Linked DNA regions of Caenorhabditis elegans. The protein of the gene in region 3 purifies or fractionates together with the protein of the main gene of each other region. This does not show direct contact. Each region holds a gene or a part of one and is shown on either strand. Other genes may lie near its edges. The genes, in order: sur-5, ZK856.7, kin-1 and pold-1.

Evidence for each region.
Region 1: the proteins of kin-1 (region 3) and sur-5 fractionate together in Caenorhabditis elegans (co-fractionation; one large-scale study listed by BioGRID). This does not show direct contact.
Region 2: the proteins of kin-1 (region 3) and ZK856.7 fractionate together in Caenorhabditis elegans (co-fractionation; one large-scale study listed by BioGRID). This does not show direct contact.
Region 4: the proteins of kin-1 (region 3) and pold-1 fractionate together in Caenorhabditis elegans (co-fractionation; one large-scale study listed by BioGRID). This does not show direct contact.

Annotation. Positions count from the first base shown.
Region 1 is NC_003284.9:7,300,874-7,307,175, reverse strand, and holds sur-5 (Acetoacetyl-CoA synthetase), read left to right. Parts: upstream 1-1,605; 5' UTR 1,606-1,606; coding exon 1,607-1,826; intron 1,827-1,980; coding exon 1,981-2,084; intron 2,085-2,169; coding exon 2,170-2,290; intron 2,291-2,337; coding exon 2,338-2,661; intron 2,662-2,711; coding exon 2,712-2,863; intron 2,864-2,906; coding exon 2,907-3,091; intron 3,092-3,511; coding exon 3,512-3,678; intron 3,679-3,739; coding exon 3,740-3,840; intron 3,841-3,895; coding exon 3,896-4,031; intron 4,032-4,578; coding exon 4,579-4,888; intron 4,889-5,087; coding exon 5,088-5,244; intron 5,245-5,290; coding exon 5,291-5,416; 3' UTR 5,417-5,787; downstream 5,788-6,302. UniProt on the Caenorhabditis elegans protein: Activates acetoacetate to acetoacetyl-CoA. Negatively regulates let-60 Ras activity during vulval induction.
Region 2 is NC_003283.11:10,200,163-10,203,091, forward strand, and holds ZK856.7 (uncharacterized protein), read left to right. Parts: upstream 1-1,935; 5' UTR 1,936-1,936; coding exon 1,937-2,070; intron 2,071-2,116; coding exon 2,117-2,348; 3' UTR 2,349-2,391; downstream 2,392-2,929. Other genes in the region: chpf-1 (EF-hand domain-containing protein), read right to left, coding at 2,555-2,793, 2,839-2,929.
Region 3 is NC_003279.8:14,912,179-14,916,780, reverse strand, and holds the start of kin-1 (cAMP-dependent protein kinase catalytic subunit), read right to left. Parts: upstream 3,016-4,602; 5' UTR 3,002-3,015; coding exon 2,792-3,001; intron 2,260-2,791; coding exon 2,092-2,259; intron 1,638-2,091; coding exon 1,472-1,637; intron 1-1,471. Other genes in the region: ptr-23 (SSD domain-containing protein), read right to left, coding at 4,009-4,118, 4,166-4,280, 4,328-4,470, 4,519-4,602. UniProt on the Caenorhabditis elegans protein: Essential for larval development. Controls the rhythmic contraction of enteric muscles probably by regulating G-protein coupled receptor aex-2-mediated calcium influx in GABAergic DVB neurons.
Region 4 is NC_003283.11:12,039,726-12,045,893, forward strand, and holds pold-1 (DNA polymerase delta catalytic subunit), read left to right. Parts: upstream 1-1,830; 5' UTR 1,831-1,884; coding exon 1,885-1,971; intron 1,972-2,051; coding exon 2,052-2,300; intron 2,301-2,345; coding exon 2,346-2,717; intron 2,718-2,760; coding exon 2,761-2,894; intron 2,895-2,941; coding exon 2,942-3,671; intron 3,672-3,716; coding exon 3,717-4,730; intron 4,731-4,776; coding exon 4,777-5,225; intron 5,226-5,270; coding exon 5,271-5,481; 3' UTR 5,482-5,622; downstream 5,623-6,168. Other genes in the region: Protein kup-1, read right to left, coding at 1,052-1,141; F10C2.5 (alpha-1,2-Mannosidase), read left to right, coding at 5,707-6,139. UniProt on the Caenorhabditis elegans protein: Possesses two enzymatic activities: DNA synthesis (polymerase) and an exonucleolytic activity that degrades single stranded DNA in the 3'- to 5'-direction.

The DNA.
Region 1 (6,302 bases), on a different chromosome or scaffold from region 3:
GAGTCCCACCATGCTTGTCATCCACTCTATCCACTCGGCCATCTCGCTGTTGCAGGCAGTACTAATTGGGGATAGTGAAAAGAGTTAACGTAGAATTTCAGACGTAAAAATTTCAGATTTCCAGCCCGAATGGGCCAAAATTTCAGTCATATTCTTATAGTAGAGAATGTCAGCTTTCCGATACAATATTTTTTTTTTGAATATCGCTCCACTTATTCTGGTCATTCCCTAGTAAGTTTTTTCAGTTTTACCAGAAATAAAACCACTCATAAAAACTATAAACTACACATTTAAACTGTAAATGTTGGAAATCATTTTGACCATCAAACAATAGCTATCGGAAAATGCAAAGGCCATTCCGTGATGGCACGCTCTTCTTCTATCCATCGCTCCTTTTCAACGAAACACACACACAAACGCAGACTATTGGAAAAGAAAAATATAGAAAAAACCTTTTTTCTCCTTGTCCCTTGTGTTGATCTCACTTTTCAGTGGACGTGTGCAGTGTGGAGGCCAGAGACTGTGCTGACCGACGGACGCGCAGGCGGTAAACATACGTTGCAGTGGAGAGTGTAGTCCCTCGTCGGCTCTCTGTGTATTTCTTTCAATGCCTGTGTCTCGGTCTATCTTTGTCTCTATCTGTTTTAAAAGTTTTTTGCAAAGTTTCAATTTCTTTTTTATTTTCTCTTCTTTTTTTGCGCATTTATTTTTTTTAAAGAGCGCTGTTCTTCAATTGGAAAACAGTATAACGATCGAAATAAAAAAAAAACTTGAAATAGTATCGGAATTGAGATGGGGGCAATTGAAATTGAAGACGCAACAAAAACATGTTTTTATCGTCTGAAATTATCTAAACTTTGAATCTAACGTGTCAATGGCTACTTTTACAGTAGACTTTTTAGAGTAATGTTAAAAAGGATAATATAGGTTTTTCTTCAAACTATTTTGTCACGCCGCATATATTCTTTTCATATTCCATTCGCAAAGTGCATGATGTAACAAAAATGAAACGTCATAATTTTTTAATCTTTCACACTTTTTTTGCCGGCCGTTAAATCAAAATCAAATCAACTTAATCCAACACGTGCGGGCTTGCAATTTTATTACACCGGTGTCCTACAGCGCCATGTTATCTTCTTTGATTAGAGATCTCTCACGCAACATTTGACATTGAAAATTTTGTCTCCGAATTGTTGTGTACCTACTTTGTCCCGATGTCCCAAATTTTCACTGATAACAAGAGATATCTCAACTGTTCTTATCACGTTGATACGTAGAACGTTTTACACTAAACCAAATTGCAGTCCCCTTCTACGAACCGTTTGCTAATTGTTTTGCATAGAACAGTGATCAATGTGTTGTGCTCACTAGTCAATGATGTTCGTCTCTCATTTTTCCTACAACTTCACTGAAAAGGTTTTGAATATCTGGTGATTGTAGGCAATCACACCACAGTTAATGGCCTGGCAAATAATGATAAGCGTGTGATAAACCTCACAAAAATACGCCTAGAAGTGGTGATATCGCTAGTTTTGTGTCCTTTCGATTTTTTTCGTGTTGCTTTTTTCTGTGGATAAACCTTTGAACTTTACATTTTGTTTTCAGAATGACCGCAGTGTCTGCAAACGGAAAAACTACCGAAAAGCACGAAAATGGTGCTCACACCAATGGAACGACAAATGGAACGACGAATGGATCAATGAATGGAAATGAAATAAGCCATGTTCAGAAACTTCAGCCAGTTTATTACAAGCCGCCACAAAATTTGGAAACTTTTGAATTGTCACTCAGAAATCATTTTGAAGAGAAAACAAATAAGAAATTTGGTAATTTTTTATTTAGTAAATCATAGGTTTCAATTTTAACTCTTGATTAATTTGAAAAATCGACCTCAAATAACTGCTATTTAATATTTAACTGAAACTGTGAGCAACTAGATTTTGAAAAATGCAAAATATTCATAACATCCACATTTTTAAGCTGACTACCGTGAATTTCACCGATTCACTTGTGATAATTATGGTATTTTCTGGGAGGATTTGCTCAAATTGTCCGATGTGAAGCTTCATCAAAACTACAACCAGGTATGGTATTGGGAAACTTGTTTCCACTTCCTGGAACATTAATTTTTTATGTGTAACAGCTCGGAAACAAACAAAGTATTTTTAGGTTATCGATCATAATTTGAAAATCAACGAGAGACCGAGATGGTTCAATGGTGCTACTCTCAACTATACTGAAAATGTCATCGAAAGAGGAACCGCCACCGATATTGCTGTATTGAATGCCAGTAAGTGTTTCATGTTCCAAACGTTTATTTATCAAACAAAATTCAAGGTATCGAAGAAACAGTGACAGAATATACTTACGACAACTTGCGCAAAGATGTTTATCGCATTGCCACATCTCTTCGTAACTATGGAATCGGACCCGGAGACACTGTTTGCGGCTTTGTTCCAAACACATATGACACACTGGTGGCTGTTTTTGCCACAGCCGCTGTCGGAGCTGCCTGGTGCTCAGCGTCTGTTGATTTTGGACCTGCTGGTGTTCTTGACAGATTCAGACAAGTTCACCCCAAGGTTTTGTTCACAGTGAATCATGTGACTTACAAGAAGAAGCTCATTGATCAGACCGATAAAATTAATGAAATTGTAAAAGGTTGGTTACTTTTGTCAAATAAGAATTTAAAACAATGGTATAACTTCCAGAGCTCCCAACTCTCGAGAAAATCGTTGTATCCGACACCTTCACATCTGTAAAATTCGATGCAACAAAGTACAATCAAAGTGACAAGTTCTCATCACTCGAAGAATTCAAGACTCCCATTGCCGATGTTGTGTTGCCATTTGTATATACTCCAGTATGATTAAGATTTGAAACATTCAAAGCATGTGGATTTTTAGGTACCATTTTCCGATCCACTCTTCGTAATGTTTAGCTCAGGAACCACGGGAATTCCAAAGGCAATGGTTCACACGGTCGGAGGAACCTTGCTCAAGCACATTGAGGAGCATTTGGTGCAAGGAGATTCAAAGAAACACGATCGTATGTTTTTCTACACTACATGTGGATGGATGATGTATAATTGGTGAGATTTTGTTTTAATTAAAATTGTATTTTAATCAGCAAGAAAATACAATTTAAATAATATTAGAACACCGTAGAAACTGTCCCCTGAAATGTTTTTTTGTATTTATGTAATAATGAACTGTTGGATAAGCTTTAAAATATTGATTTTTTCTAGAGACAAAAATAATTTCCGAATAAATATTCACAGGTTGCTTTCAAGAAATAAAACATTTTGGCAATTCGCCGCAACTTTGCAACCGTTCAGTAACCTTTGGTAGTTCTTAGTGCAAATGCTTGGATGTTCCATCTTTAACTTTGTTCACTTTTGCAACTTTTTTGATTGGCGCTGCTGAAATTGATCACGAGTTTTCGGCAAATTGCTAAGATTGTACTTATTCACAATTTCAAAAATATATAACTTTAATTTTTAACATTTCAGGATGATCTCGTTCCTATACTCCAAAGGATCTGTTGTATTATTCGATGAATGCCCATTGGCTCCTGACACCCATATTATCATGAAAATCGCTGCAAAGACACAATCGACTATGATTGGAATGGGTGCGAAGCTTTATGATGAATACCTCCGACTTCAAATTCCATTCAGTAAGTATATACATATAATTTTCCTCCATTCAACACCGTTAATATGATCAACGACTTTCAGACACATTGTACGACCTTTCCAAAATACACACAGTCTACTCGACAGGTTCGCCATTGAAGAAAGAGTGCTTCGCTTATATCAACACTTATATTGCGCCAGGCGTATGTTCTTATCTTGTTCTTTTGCAACCAAATATAACACAAAGTTTTTTTATAGGCTCTCATCGCGTCGATTTCTGGAGGAACTGACATTATTGGATGCTTTGTCGGTGGTATCAAGTCATTGTCAATCACGCCAGGAGAGTGTCAGTGTTTGTTCCTGGGAATGGATATTAAGTCATTCAATTACATGGGTACGTGCAAAATGAAATGTATAAAACAATTCGGAAAAAGCTAGAACGTTATGTCGAGAATTGTACCATTTAATACTGGGGATGAAAAAAGTGGTACTGGAAAAATTTTCAATATTGGCAGACCTCGGCAAATTGCGATGTATCTCAAAAATTCTTGAAACTCTAAAAATAAAACCATGAATAATAAATAGCATAATTGTATTTCCATCGTATTTTCCAAAATCAAAAAAAAATGCCGAAATCGGTAAGACGTGCAAAAAATTGAAAAAATTGCCGAGCGCGGCAACTTCTTAATGCCCACTTTTTTTAAAAATTTTGCACAGAACCCTGGCGATTGAATAGGTGTTCGATCTTTATAAGAATAATAGGTCCATATGACAATAGGGATTACAGGCCCATATCCCAGGCGAACAACAGCAGTGTTGCAAACAAATATACATACTTTATAATGTTTATAAATAACTTTCAAAGTAGTTTTCAACATTTTTCGAAAAGTTGCGAAGAAAGATAGATCAACTTTTTTCTCCAAAAAGTATCCGAATTGCAGATGAAGAAATCATTAACTCTGACGAACAAGGAGAGTTAGTGTGTGTCACCCCATTCCCCTCAATGCCATCACATTTCTTGAATGACACGGATGGCAAGAAGTACCGTGATGCCTACTTTGCTCGCCTAGAACCATTTTGGGCTCATGGTGATTTTGTGAGAGTGAATCATTCTACGGGCGGTGTAGAAATGCTCGGAAGAAGTGATGCTACATTGAATCGCGGCGGAGTTCGAATTGGAACAGCTGAGATTTATTCGGTTGTTGAAAAAATTCCACATATTGCTGATTGCATTGTAGCTGGAAGACTTGTGTAAGTTGATCATTATGCATATTTAGAGTTTTTATTTTGCTAATAGGTATGTCACTTACTCATTCTCTTCTTTATATTAAGCTAGTTTTAATTACTTTTCTCTATTCTGCAAATAGAAATAAACAGGTCGTTGATAAATTAACTTATATTTTTTATTCTCTAGTATGGCAGAACAAACATAAGAACATTTTTTTTCCAGCGAAGAGGGCATGGACGAGGAAGTTTTGCTGTTTGTGAAAATGGTTCCGGGTCAAGAGCTCACACACAGTATCCAGGCAGCCATTGTTTCTAAACTCCGGAACGACATGTCCCCGCGACATGTTCCAAACAAAATTTACGCAGTTGATGATATTCCGGTAGCTATTTACGATTGAGATATTTGTAAAAACTTTGTTTTTTCAGTATACTTCAAGCGGAAAGAAAGTGGAAGTTGCCGTTAAGCAAATTGTGAGTGGAAAGGCCGTCCAGAAAGCGTCTTCGATTCGCAATCCAGAATCTCTTGATCATTTCGTTCAATACAGACTTTAATCTTTAATTTTATTTCAACGGTTTATTTGTTTCTGTTTCTGAAAATTATATATTCACGCTTTCCTTCTTGCTCATTGCCTGAACCTGTTTTTCTCATTCATGTCATCATCAACATCAATTTTTGAGCTTTGTGGTCCTTTACATTCTCACCTTCAAATCTAATTTAAAACTTTGTGTTAATTCATTCATATTTCCCCTTATGTTAGCACCCAGGTTTTCTTTATTTGCACCGGTTTCTCTCTCACTCCCCAACGAAATAACTCTGATTTCACTGTTCCGTCGTCATCAAAAAATAAATCCCTGTGAAATACTTTGAAAGAGGAAGAAAATTTAATGGTTTCATTATCATTAAGGAATAAACATTTTGCACTAGATGATATTTTGGGCATGTCCTCAAAAACGTTAAAATGAAGACCGTCATTGAAATAGTAGGAAATATTTTCAAAATTTCAAAAGAAAGTATTGTAAAGGTACGAGCCTAAAATGTATAAAATTAGAAGAGTTTGTTCCCATGTAAAATGTGGACATTTCTGACTCTAAAATTCTATGTTTGCTTTTGGAACACTTTATGTTACATAACACACAAATTGGAAAACAATTGCTTGAAACAGATTCAGTTGTCTTGTAATTCATTACACATTTCATTTTAATGTGATTTTGAGATAGTTAACATTTGCAAAATTGTTTTTAAAGTTTTGCAAAGATAAAAATGCATGGATAAAATAAGTACCTAGGATAAATAAATGCATAGAAAATCGGTAAAGCTAAATTTCTGAATAAGGAGTGTTTACTTTTGAGCTCCTTTTCAACAAACTTGATTTTCAAAATCACAAGTAACATCCTTGGTTTGTCCCCTTCGTCCATCTTTGTGTGTTTCAATAAGCGT
Region 2 (2,929 bases), on a different chromosome or scaffold from region 3:
TTCATTAGCATGCAGTTAAAAATAAAGAGGAAATGAGTTGAATGGCAATGGAACTCCATTATAATCTTTTTGCACCACAACTTGAAATCAATGGGACAATCTAAATCCCGATAAATAGAAATAATTGTAAACCAAAAATATACACCGTTTATTTACAATGATGATGTAAAAATTATGTCACAATAATAGTAGTTTAATCGGAAAAAAACACATTATTCGTATTTGAATCAGCCCACAAATATTCGTGCGGAGTTTCAAGACCAGTTCGTTGAAACTTGAATTTGAATAATCGGATGCTGGATCGTGACTCAATAATTTAGAATGACGTCAGATTCTATGGCAACTAATTTACTTTGTAGATTAGTCATGTACAGATCCCCGAAAATTTGGTTTTAAGACCTGAAATAAGATCTTCAGTTCATTCGATTTATTTTCAAAACATTGTTGAAATCAGGACCAAGGAAGTAAATGAATAAAACTAGATATTTATTAGATAACCGTCGGAGGATCAGAATTCTGATCAACACTTTTGGCACAACAGTATTTCAAAGTGAAGAGCTCATTTCTCTCTTTTGTACCCTTTCCTGAAGTTAAATTATCATCTTCAGACAAAATATCATTCTTCCATTACTGTTTTCATAAGACAATTAAATTTTTTATACTGGCATAAAATTTTTGTCTAACTCTCAAAAACTAGTCTATCTCTCTACTGTAACCGAACAACAACAAAACACCAAAAGATTAGAAAAACTAGAGTCACACACGTGGTGTACTTTATTTTTGTGATTTTTGTGACAACAATAAGAGAACATATACCAGTTTTCAATATTCGGCTTCATGGAATACTGTAACGCGTTAACCTTTAAATTGTGAAATCTGATTAAACATGGAAGATTGTGTTGAATATGAAATTTGGAAAAGAAATACTCGGGAACAGTATTTAAAAGTTCAAAATATACATAAAATGATCGTTTAGGTTCGAGCCTACATCGTCGAATATCGTATTAAATTACTTATGTTTTTATTGGTAAATTGCCAAATTCTAGAAATTTCTAGCATGTTCGAGCCCATGTTCAGATGCTTAGATATAATTAATAGAAATACAAATCGACTAGAACAATCGTAAAAAATTGTTTTATTTTGAAGTTTTTCTATGTCGTAATATTAACTTTTAATGACAGTTCATTTTCTTTCAGTCGCGGGGTGCTCATTCTTTTGCATTGTTAAATTGATAAAATACTTAAAATGTCGATACAACATGTAGGTGCTAAGATGTGTGCATGCGATGCATGAGTAGCTTCCCGAAGATCACCTAGTCCAACTATGCCTTCTTTACTAGCCCAAATGTTAATTGACATCGTGTGAACGTAGTGTTAGGATGTCACCAGTTACGCATGCCTACGTCTGTAGGCTCTTGTGCTCCTACATGGTATACTTAGTATGAATACAGATATCAGTGCCGATCCTTGAAAATGTGAGAATGTGGTCGTCAAAACAAAATTCACAAATGACACACCAATTGCTTTTTCGTTTAGTCGGTGTTTGTTTGAAAACAAAACTGATTCAATGCTTCATTCATTTGTCTTCTTCTTTTTGATTTACTTTATCGTTGTTTTGTGTAACAACACCAAGGCTCTCAAGGACAGCCCGTATCGATCGCAATTCGGCCGCTGTGGCAGACTACCCATTCACCACTGCGACCGATAGACCGACTACTACCTGTTTATACCCAATTATTCGTTCTCATGTTTCTTTTTATCCTTTTTACTGTTGAATTACCAACAGTTGAACAATCAAAATATTTTCTATAATAACAAAATTTCTCTTCCTCCATTCTTTGTACCTTTCCAATGTATTTCTTTTGTGAGAACACCAACGTTGCTGATATTTTGCCATATCAATAGAACCATTGTAGTCTACAGTATACTTTTTTAGAATGCGTGTCGCAGTTATTCTTCTGTTCTTTTTATCTGTCGCTCTCGCATGTGACATCATTGTTCATTTGAAATCGGACACAGACAAGAAATTCAGCGGACAAATTGTTGCCAGCAATGGAAAGAAATCTGAAAGGTTTGTTCGGAGGACATCAATAGAAAAATTATGTTTTCTTTTTCAGATGGAGCTATTTGAAGAAGCTTCAGAAGAACACCTTCCAACAGAAAGCCGATGAATGTGGACTCAAGGATTGGGAGATTACTACTTGGGATGATGCTGGAAAGCCAGTTGCTACCGTAAAAGTCACTTTGGATGGAATTGGAAGAGTCACTTACAAGGTTGGAGATGATTTGAAGGCAGTTCAAAAGGATCGTCAAGGAGCCATCTGCAAGGGACAATGTGCTCCTTTGTAAATGTTTGAAAACTATTAATCAATGATAAAACTGATAAAACATTCATTTTTCTTTGTCAATTTTGATTTCACACGAAAATTGATAAACAACTTCTGAGATAGTTTGTGTCTTCAAGGCAAAATGGTGAGAAGTGACAAAAATTATGTACAGGTAAGAGAAAATGGCAAACTGAAAACGAGACTAGCAGGGGAATTTCTTGTAAAAGCTTAGTTTAGGAATCGAATCGACATCTTCTCCTCAATATCAGTTTTTTCCATTGCTCGACAAAACTCATCAAAAGAAATTTTTCCATCACGATCTGCATCAGCTTCCTCAATCGTTCGATCAGCAATCTTGTCGAGTTGATCAGAAGTTATATTGGCACCAACCATACTGTTCAGAATGACTTTGAATTCTTCACGTGTGATGTAGTCGTTTTTATTTAAATCGTACATTTTGAACGCAACTGAAATAAAATTAAATAATTAAAAACTTGAAAGAATAATCTTACAAAGCAATTTGTCTTTTCTCGAGTTGAGAGCATTTTTCTTTACTCTTGAAATCGGTTGAAAGTGTGCAAGAATTCGAACAAATTGACGAAA
Region 3 (4,602 bases):
TTATGGGTATATGTCTCATCTTGTGGTTTCTACTGACATCTTTTTAGGTGACTTATTTTATCTTGTGTCTACAGTCACAAAAAATTGATTGTTACCCAGAAAATGTGTCTACCTACAAGTTTTGAGGTTAAATTTTTTGATAAGATAATAAAAAATCCACTTTATCGATTTTTAGACAAATTCCATTTATGGCCATGAATAAAATCAAATATGGGAATTTCATATGATTGATTCGATTATTTAACCCCCGGTTGCCCTCGTAATACCTATGTGGAAAAGCAAGAGAGAAATAAAAAGAGCAGGTGGTGGTGGTAGTGACTCTCCAGGAGCAGTGTCTCTAATGATAGTTTATTTTGACATAGGTTGACTGCTTGAAATATAAGAGAAATAGTGAGAGACGGAGATTTTTTAAAGAGAAAAAAAACAACTTTTCTGAAAAAAAAAATCAAGTAAAAGGAGTTTTAAACATTTTAATTTTAGAAACCAACCAACATATTTGTTGGATTTTCAAATTTAGACAATTTCCCAATAAAACAGTGATACACATGCGCGGGAGTTAAACTTATTATTAATTATACCAATTAAAATTGACCAGTAATAGAAACTACCATATGTTTCTACTGACTATGAGCGGGAAATCCTGACAGGAATAAAATGGAAGAAAAATGAAAAGCAGTGAGAGTAAATACGTTGCCACGGGCAGCCAAGACAAGGTGTGAAATTGAAGAAAAAGAAGAAGTAAAAACGGAGACAAATATTTCAGCTTCTCTTTCTCCCTCTCTTTTATAATTGTAGGCTAAATGAGTCAGTTGTCAGAACTTGCAAAGGAATTTCGGAGTTCGAGTTGTTGGAAATTATAATACTATGAACTTTAGGTACCCACATTTAAAGTCCGAACTCTGCAAAATAGACTGAAGAAGAAAGAGAGGAGCTTGAAAATATGGCGTAAACACGAAAGGATAGCAGGATAAACCAAATGCTCAAATGTAAGCAAAAAAAAAGCTCAAATGTAATGCAAAAATAACAATGTACCTACATCCATATTATGTAGATAAAACCCTTTATAATAAAGTTGGATGCACGATTTCGAATACTAGTGAATTGATTGTACAACTAAAACGGCACGTTCAAAAATGAGATTGCATAGCTTACTTCTGCCAGATGCTCGCTCAGCGGAAGAAGTCGACAAACGATAGATATTAATATTTATCATAGAACCAAACTGAAACCAAAGAAACCAAGGACTGTATTAGCAAATTTTCCAACTATATTCGCGTCAATAAAGGAAATATTACAGTTCTGAAGCAAAACTTCGATGAATTGCGATCAAACTCTAGTTACAGAATGATTTGGCGTTCAATAATACGCAGATAATTGTACGATAATATAAATACTTTCAAAAAATAACCTACCTATTTATGACTCTTTCTCATACTTATCCCCCATCAAATAATCTTTTTAAAAAGCGTACCATATCTTTCCTGAATCTCGTCATTTGGTTGTGGTCCAATTGTCAAATATTGCGTGGATGTTGGCGATGAAGAAGACGACGGTGAGATGTGTCCTTGGAAGAAGCTGAGGAGATGAACGGGAACTGCTTGATCTCCAAATAATGCACAATGTGCAAGCCAGTAGCCCTGAAATACTTGCATTTTATTTTTGGTAGAAGGAATAAAAAATTATATTGTTGCGCAGTTTTGAGAGATTTTTTCCCGCAATAAATTTCTTCAAAATGCACGTTACAACAATAGTCTCTGTTTTGTCAGAACACTTTATTTCCATCAGGGTTGAGAAGTTTTTCCTCATTTCGCCAGTAAAAAAATGTCTTTAAAAAAATAATTGCTGAAATTACTGGATGAAAAATCTTACATTTCGTTTGATACCGATGACATTCAGAAATGAATTTAAATTAAATTAAAACAAGTTCAAAATTCGGTGAAACTTACTATTAGAAATTAGAATTTATCTTTTGTTCGCCACGTGGAAAGTCAAAAAAAAAAAATTTGTGAAAAATGTAGTTTTTCCCAATATTGCCGTCTATGCGCTAAGGGAGGTGATTCTATTTTGAAAAAAAAATCTGGAAAAAAGTACCTGCCACTGAGCTGGTGATAAGTTGGTTGCCAAAAAGCATAACCAGTTTTCCCAACTTGTTACAGCTGCCTGTGGAGGGTTGTTGTCGTCTGGCTGCTGACTGTTTGAGCCACTTGCGGGAATGGTATGAAGCCCGAATAGATGTGCTGGTGAAGAAAGAAGGAGTTCCTGGAAGTGTAGGTGAATTGGTAAGAAGATTTCACTGAATATATAATCTTGTTAAATTCCAATTTCATACAGGTACAAAGGCTCATGTATGCCTTCATACCTACAGAACGTCCAGTACTTGCAACCTACTTCGCTGCGCCTAACCTAACAATAACCCCTAATCAGGCATTTTTGTGGGCTGGTCTGAGTGTGCGGTACACGCAAAATTTAAACTTAAAAGTTCTCAAATGCTCCAATTTTTGCGGCATTATGAAGGTCGCGGATTTTGGCAGAATTTTAGTTTACGATCGAACTCCATTTTACTTAAAATGTATTTGTATTGTTCCGAACATTAAATTGAAATATAAAACTACAAACAATAACCAATTTTCGTAAAGAAATGAGCGTCGATCAAAAATAATGGTTTGTTAGACCTAGATTTTTATTATTTTCTTTCAAGTTTTTTATATTTTATTCAAGAAACATCCGAGGAAAAATTTAATTTACAGGCCTTTTTATTAACTAGCACCACCTGTAGTTATAAAAGTCTCACTCTAAGTTTCAAATCCATCTGTGGTTGTAATTGCTCCTGTGATTGTGATGCTTGAACATTTGTAGAGGTTGAAGGTCCAGCTTCGTCAGTTAGTAATGGCATTGGCGATAGATCGACAATTTCAACAGTGTCAGCAGCTTTTTCGCATTTTGCCAAAATCCTATCTTCACCATCCTCTACTTTTCTTCTCTTCAACGGGCTTGGGTCCATCGTGATAAGGATAAATGGAATAACTGATTAGTAGTTTAGTATGTGCAATATTTTTGTGAGACTCAGGGTGCGAAAGGGAACAACATACACAAATAAACGAAGATGAAGAACGGTATTGTGAGCGAGTGTCTCTGTGTGGAGGTGCGCGTTTAGAAAGGATCGGCCATCTCCCTCTCTCCCTCTGTGTCTTTCATTCCACGACTCTCAGTGTTTGTTTAAGAACACACTGAGAATGGACACGGCCACGGACGGAGAATAGTATGACAAAGCCCTTTTGGTCCTATTCAGGTGAAGAACATAAAATTCGTTTTTTATGTCGGAGTATTATTACCCAATGAATTTTTGAGCACCGCGAGAGAAACTTGAACGCATGACTAGTTTGAGATTTTCAGATTTTTCAAGATTTTTCAAACGTTGTTTCATAGCTACTTTTTGCTACATAAGAATGACGATAGTACGCATTACGCACTTTATTTATAAAAATTCAAGGAAGGAAGAAGTTGAGTTTCATCAGGGACTTGTTTTTGCTGCAGCAGCCTTATAGTAAATCCAGTGTATCACTTTAGGCACACGCACGCTTCAACATTTTCTGGAACAGCTACAATATTTACTGCAAGATTTTTTGAAAATTCACTATGATATTAGATTTTATTTTTATTGTTTGAAATCTAAAAACCTTTCCGTTTGTTTTCAAGTATATTTTCAATGCTTTTATTTCTAGCTTGGCAAAATGAAACTCAAGAAGATGTCGGAAAATCACCGGAAAAAAATCAATTCTTCACTTTGAAAATTTCTAATAGGTATGATCAGCAAAGCACAAAATGTACACAAAAACAAAAAACACGAAAAATGAAAACTTGGGCAACACTATAAAAACCCGGACTTTTTGGTGGGGACGAATATTTTCAGAAAACTGGAAGGAAACGGGAAACTCAAATGGAACAGAGGTTTGTGTCATGAGATTAATAGGTGGAGAAGTTAAAAAGAAATATAATTAATGGTTTTTTTTAGATTTCCGGTCGATCAGTGACCACACTCTTTTCCGGCTGAACTTTGTCGTTTTTCTGTTTCTGGCGAGAATTGGTTTTTGGCTGCTTTGGACGTTGTGCAGCAGCACCTTAAATTTTCTTTGTCTCAAGAAAATAATCATTTGTGAATTCTTACCCTTAGGCCTACAAGCCCATCGAATAGAATCCAAAAGAATCAAGATAGCAGGTAAGAACACGAGACCATGAAGATTGCACAGTACTACACATAACACCATGGTTTTCACGAATACCTTGAAAAGAGTGGTTTTGATTGAAAATTTGAATACTAAAATCTCACTTCTGCCATATACAGGTTAACAAATAATAGACTGCAGACACACAAAATTGTGGACAACGCTGCCTGCAATGCTGGGAATGCAACAGAAGATAGACAGTTTGCAAGACGAGATGATGGCGGAGACATGGGTCCTTCTTGTATTGCTGAAATTAACTATTACTCTCCAGGATATATCATAACAAAAAACTAACAAGCTTGATAGTAATGATATGATACGTGAGCGGGAATATCGACAGAGAACCCAATGGAGATAATCATTGCAGCCATTGTGATTG
Region 4 (6,168 bases), on a different chromosome or scaffold from region 3:
TAAAACTTTTTGTGTCATCGAGTTGTTAGACAAATATTTCCGCGGCGGTTCGGTTCGGGAGACCACCACCTCCACCACCGCAGACGGTATTGAATTGGAGGGGAGCAACACAAGGACACACGATGAATGGCCTGACGAAGAGGGGCACAATAGGGGCTCTCCTTCTCCGTCGCCGCCGCCGCAGTCGACAGTCTTTCTCTGTTTCTTTCCTGTCTTTTCCATCACTTTCCTCCGGACGTCGTCATCGTTGTCCCGGTCACTACCTTAACCACCAGGCTGTTTGTGTTCAATTACCTGCGGGCGTTTTGTGTATGTTCGCGTCTGTATGTGAGAGATGAGGATGAAAAAGACAGAAAGAGAGAGAGACTAAGAACACGCTGTAATTACACAGCAACCTCATCCTCTGGATAATACTGACCGCCAGTGTGTCGTGTCAACAAGTCGGCTTAAATTATGAAGTAATTAGTCGCTCGTTCGTGGGTTATAGAATGGACTGTCCAGAATGAATTGACACGACATACTTTTTAATAATTCTTTACAGATGAAGGAGAATTCAGTGGCCGATCCTACATTTCTTCCACGTGTTACAAAATGTCATTTTAGAACGCTCACTCTCACAGAAATAAAGCAAATTCACTTTCTAGACAAAGCGAGTCAAACGGCAACTTTCATCTTGAAGTCAGGTCCACACAAGTACAAAACTTCAGCCAAGCTATGGAAGTTTTAAAGTTTAAACCCTGGAATTTCACTAGATTGTAACCAGAACTATACTTTGCAGAGATCACTGGAAGAAAAAGCTTGAACTATTTAAATTTTTATGCGATATTTTCAAAATGAAGAATTGCGTCATTAAACTTGACTCCAGCAAAACGATCAAAAGTTTCCCAATTCAAACAAACAAAACGCTCTCGAAAAAAACGAGCCGATCATCTTGCATCTTCCTCTTTGTAGTCAAATTTGAATTCGCAATTTCTCACTTTGATAATATCGAAATATTTATAAAAATTTCAGACGTAATATTTTAAACAGATTTATCTTGAAAACTACTCACCTTCGGTAGTTGAAGCTCGCTGTCACTCAGATCTTCTCTAACGTCGCCGTGTATTGAGTGATCCGATCCATAATCGAGCTCGTCGTCCATGTCTCTGCTGAAATAAATAAAATTTAGATACATTTAAACTGTTATGCACAATGAAGACAAGGGAGAAAAGTTCAACAATGAATAAATATATTTTTCAATGATCGAAAAGAGTTTGAAGAAGGCGTTCAATATATCTCGCAACAATAACTATTTTAAACGAGTAGAAAATGTTCAAAGGACGGTAAATATGCTTTTCGCGCAATAAAACTCGAGAGCTGAAAGCAAAAAGTCGAGATTGAACAAAATAAGGTAATACAAATTTATCATAGCGCATTAGCTTGATTTTTCGAAAAAAAAAACATATAAAAGAATGCGAGGAAATAGTGGCCAGGTTTTTCTCAGTGAAAAACGCTTCCAAACAAAACCGTAAAATCGATTGGCCCAAAAAACAGATTTCAAACAGCGCGGTAGAAATGTTTTTGCAGTGGAGCGCACATTCGCTACCCAAAATGCGCGGCAAAACAAAGCGAAAAGATTTGGAAATAAAAAAAATTGACTTTCAATTCTTATTTTATTGTTTTATTTATTGATTATCACAATCTAAACGGATTTTCGATGTTATGAAACTTTAAATTCCCACCTAATCGCCTTAATTCTCTCCCTATTAAATCTTTAAACGTTTGTTCAGACAAAAAAACGATTCGCGGCGTTTCGTTTGAGCACGTTTACATTACTATTTTGACAAACAATTTCTTTCTACTTTCATAGTTTATTTATTGTTCTAATGCTGAGTTTTATCAGAAATGACCTCCAAGCGTCCTGGCGGGAGCTCGTTTCAACCAGAAGTGAAGCGAAAGCGTGAAAGTGACGAATTCGAGCAGTGTTACGTTGTAAGTTTTTCATATTATGATTTCAAGCTTTTAAAAATTGCATTTTTTATTTTTAATGATCACTAACCATTTATTTTCAGTCAAGATTCGAAAATGAACTTCCATCTGTACCAACGATTGATAAAACAGGATGGGCCAGGCCAGCAGTCGATAAAGATCTCGGAATTAGCAAAAGCATTGCGTGTCAGATCTTAGAGGTCGAAACGTATCATGAAGACGGCTCTGCAACATCTTACGACAGAACAAATGTGAAGTTGTATGGTGTAACCAAATCTGGAAATTCGATTTGTGTCATTGTGACTGACTACTTTCCACATTTTTATTTCCAGGTAATCTAAGCTTTAAAAAATAAGTATTGGTAATATTTCTTACAGGCACCACAAGGATTCGGTGTCGAGCACATTGGAACTGCACAATCTGCAATTTGCAATATGGTTGCTGCAGCAAAACGCCGAGGTGGTAGCGGTCAAGCTCAATTGCCTGGAAAAGTAGTTGATAATCTTGTTCATGTGGAGATAGTTCACGGAGAGAATCTTTATTACTTCCGCGGTGCTGATACGAAAGTTCCTTTTGTCAAGGTGTCAGGATCTACAGAAGCTCTTCACAAAGCGCGAATGGAATTGAAAAATGGAGTTAACTTGATGGGAAAGGGTCCTGTGAACGTTGGGAATTTATACGAGTCAAATATTAATGTGATTGTCATGTTCTTGGCGAAAACGAATATTGTTGGATGTGGCTGGATTGAGGTTTTGACAATATTAGTTTTTTTTTAATTCTTTATGATTTCAGATTCCTGCTGGAAAGTGCCGAATTCTTTCAAACAGTGAAAAGTCGTCTCGTTGTCAAATAGAAGTCACAGTTCCGGTCAAAAACCTGATTGTTCATGAAAGTGATGGTGAATGGGCTGGAATTGCTCCTATTCGGTAAGTTTGAAAGTTTGAACTTACTTTTGAAAAAATAACTTTTTTAGTACTTTGTCTCTGGATATCGAATGTATTGGTCGACGTGGAGTGTTTCCCGAAGCAATTAAAGATCCTATTATTCAAATAGCTAATCTTGTGAAAATCGAAGGTGAAGCAGAACCATTTGTTCGTAATTGTTTCGTTCTTGGAACATGTGCACCGGTCGTCGGTTCAAATATCATTCAATGTGTGAATGAAAAAGTTCTTCTCGAAAAGTGGGCTGAATTTGTTCGTGAAGTGGATCCCGACATTATCACTGGATATAACATTCTCAATTTTGATCTTCCATACATTCTGGATCGTGCTAAAGTTCTATCACTGCCACAAGTTTCTCATCTTGGTCGTCAGAAAGAAAAAGGCTCAGTTGTAAGAGATGCTGCAATATCATCGAAACAGATGGGAAGTCGAGTGAACAAGAGTATCGATATTCACGGAAGAATTATTTTTGATGTACTTCAAGTTGTACTTCGGGATTACAAACTCCGAAGTTATACACTCAATAGTGTCTCATATCAATTTTTATCCGAACAAAAAGAAGATGTGGAACATAATATTATTCCTGATTTACAACGAGGAGATGAACAAACTAGGAGGCGATTGGCTCAATATTGTTTGAAAGACGCATATCTTCCTCTTCGTCTGCTTGATAAATTAATGTCAATTATTAATTACATCGAAATGGCTAGAGTCACCGGAGTTCCTATGAATTTCTTACTGACAAAAGGTCAACAAATCAAGGTAAATCAAAATATATTTTAAATTATAATACTGAAATTGTTGTAGATTCTATCAATGATGCTACGAAGATGTAAGCAGAACAATTTCTTCTTACCGGTAATTGAAGCCAATTCTGGGGATGGTGAAGGATACGAAGGTGCTACTGTCATTGATCCGATTCGAGGATTTTACAATGAACCAATTGCAACACTTGATTTCGCTTCTCTATATCCATCCATTATGATTGCTCATAATCTCTGTTACACGACACTTTTAAAATCCCCACAAGGAGTTGAGAATGAGGATTATATTCGGACACCATCTGGCCAATATTTTGCAACCAAATCTAAGCGCCGTGGGCTTCTTCCCGAGATTCTCGAGGATATTCTGGCTGCAAGAAAACGAGCGAAGAACGATATGAAAAACGAGAAAGACGAGTTCAAAAGAATGGTTTACAATGGACGACAATTGGCGCTTAAAATCTCTGCAAATTCTGTTTATGGTTTCACTGGTGCAACTGTTGGAAAGTTGCCATGTCTCGAGATTTCTCAATCAGTTACAGCTTTCGGAAGAAAAATGATTGACATGACGAAACTCGAAGTGGAGAGAATTTACAAAAAAGGAGCTCTCGATGGAAAATGTCCAGCAGATGCGAAAGTTATTTATGGCGATACAGATTCTGTAATGGTGAAATTCGGTGTCGAAACTGTAGCTCAAGCAATGGAAATTGGACTCGATGCTGCTAAAGAAGTCAGCAAGATTTTCACTCCGCCGATCAAACTTGAATTCGAGAAAGTTTACTCCCCATATTTACTTATTAACAAAAAGAGATACGCTGGCCTTTACTTCACTAAACCGGATGTTCATGACAAGATGGATTGTAAAGGATTAGAAACTGTTCGCCGTGATAACTGCCCTCTGGTTGCAAAAGTTCTCGGTGTTTGCCTCGAGAAATTACTAATAGAAAGAGATCAACAATCTGCTTTGGATTTTGCGAAACGGACAATTAGTGACTTGCTCTGCAATAAAATTGATATCTCATTGTTGATTATCAGTAAGGAATTAACAAAGTCTGGAGATGTAAGTTCGATTTCAAAACCTTACGAAACTAATTGATTATGTTCAGAAATATCAAGCAAAGCAAGCTCACGTTGAGTTGGCGGCTCGTATGAAGAAAAGAGACGCTGGAAGTGCACCAAGACTTGGAGATAGAGTTCCATATGTTTTTGTCGCTGCTGCAAAAAATGTTCCGGCATACGAACGAGCTGAAGATCCAACTTTTGTACTTCAAAATAACATTCCATTGGACACCAAACACTACTTGACTAATCAACTCGCCAAACCACTTGCCAGAATTTTCGAGCCCATCTTGGGTGATAGAGCAGAAAAGATTCTGGTGGAAGGAGAACATACAAGAGTTCGTACAGTCGTTCAGAGTAAAGTTGGAGGTCTTGCAGCGTTCACAACGAAATCTGCAACTTGTCTTGGTTGCAAGAGTGTTTTACCAAGAGCAGAATCAGAGAACGCAGTTTGCAAACACTGTGAGCCGAAGCTTCCAACGATTTTTGCTTCTAGGTAATTAGAAATGCAATAATTGTTCTACTATATTTTTCATTTCAGAATGAACACTATGCACGAACTTGAAAACCATTTTGGTCGCCTCTGGACCGAATGCCAAAATTGTGCAAAGACTATGCAAGACAAAGTGAATTGCTCGGCTCGAGACTGTCCGATCTACTATATGAGGGAAAAAGTTCGAAACGAGCTATCGGAGGCAAGTGCCGTCATCGAACGATTTGGAGATCCTTGCTTCCAGGCACCTACTAAATGAATTAATTATGATCCCGGTTTATTTGTCTAATTATTATTGACTGTGAATGATCTTACCACACTATTCATCTCATCACACATTTTTCTTTATTACTGGTTATCTTATAAACTCGCGTTGATGATTAAAACATATGTTTTTAATTCTTTAAACTTTTTTGTAAGCGATAATCGCTTAAAATACTTGTCTGATATATTAAATTTGAATTTAAAATACCACAATTTTCAGATGATCACTCGAAAAGCAATATTCTTTTTAGCATTAGCGTCAATTATTCAAGCATCAGATGATTCCGAAGCTCCCGATAATAAAAAGTCTTCAATAAGATTCACTCCATCAGTTATTGATTCTTATAGAGAAAAAGTTCAAAAAATGTTCTACCACGCCTACAACGGATATTTGGATCATGCATTTCCACTAGATGAACTGAAACCAATAACATGCGTTGGACAAGACACCTGGGGATCATTCTCTCTTTCATTAATTGATGCTCTAGATACTCTTCTGGTGATGGGAAATACAACCGAATTCCGAAGAGCAGTGTCACTTGTTCTTGAGAAAGCTCGTGATGATGCTAATGTGAATGTTTCTGTTTTCGAGACGAATATCAGAGTTGTTGGCGGATTAATATCTGCACATATGCTAGCGGGAAGGCATAAAGGTAATTTAAATTTCACAAGGAATATTACT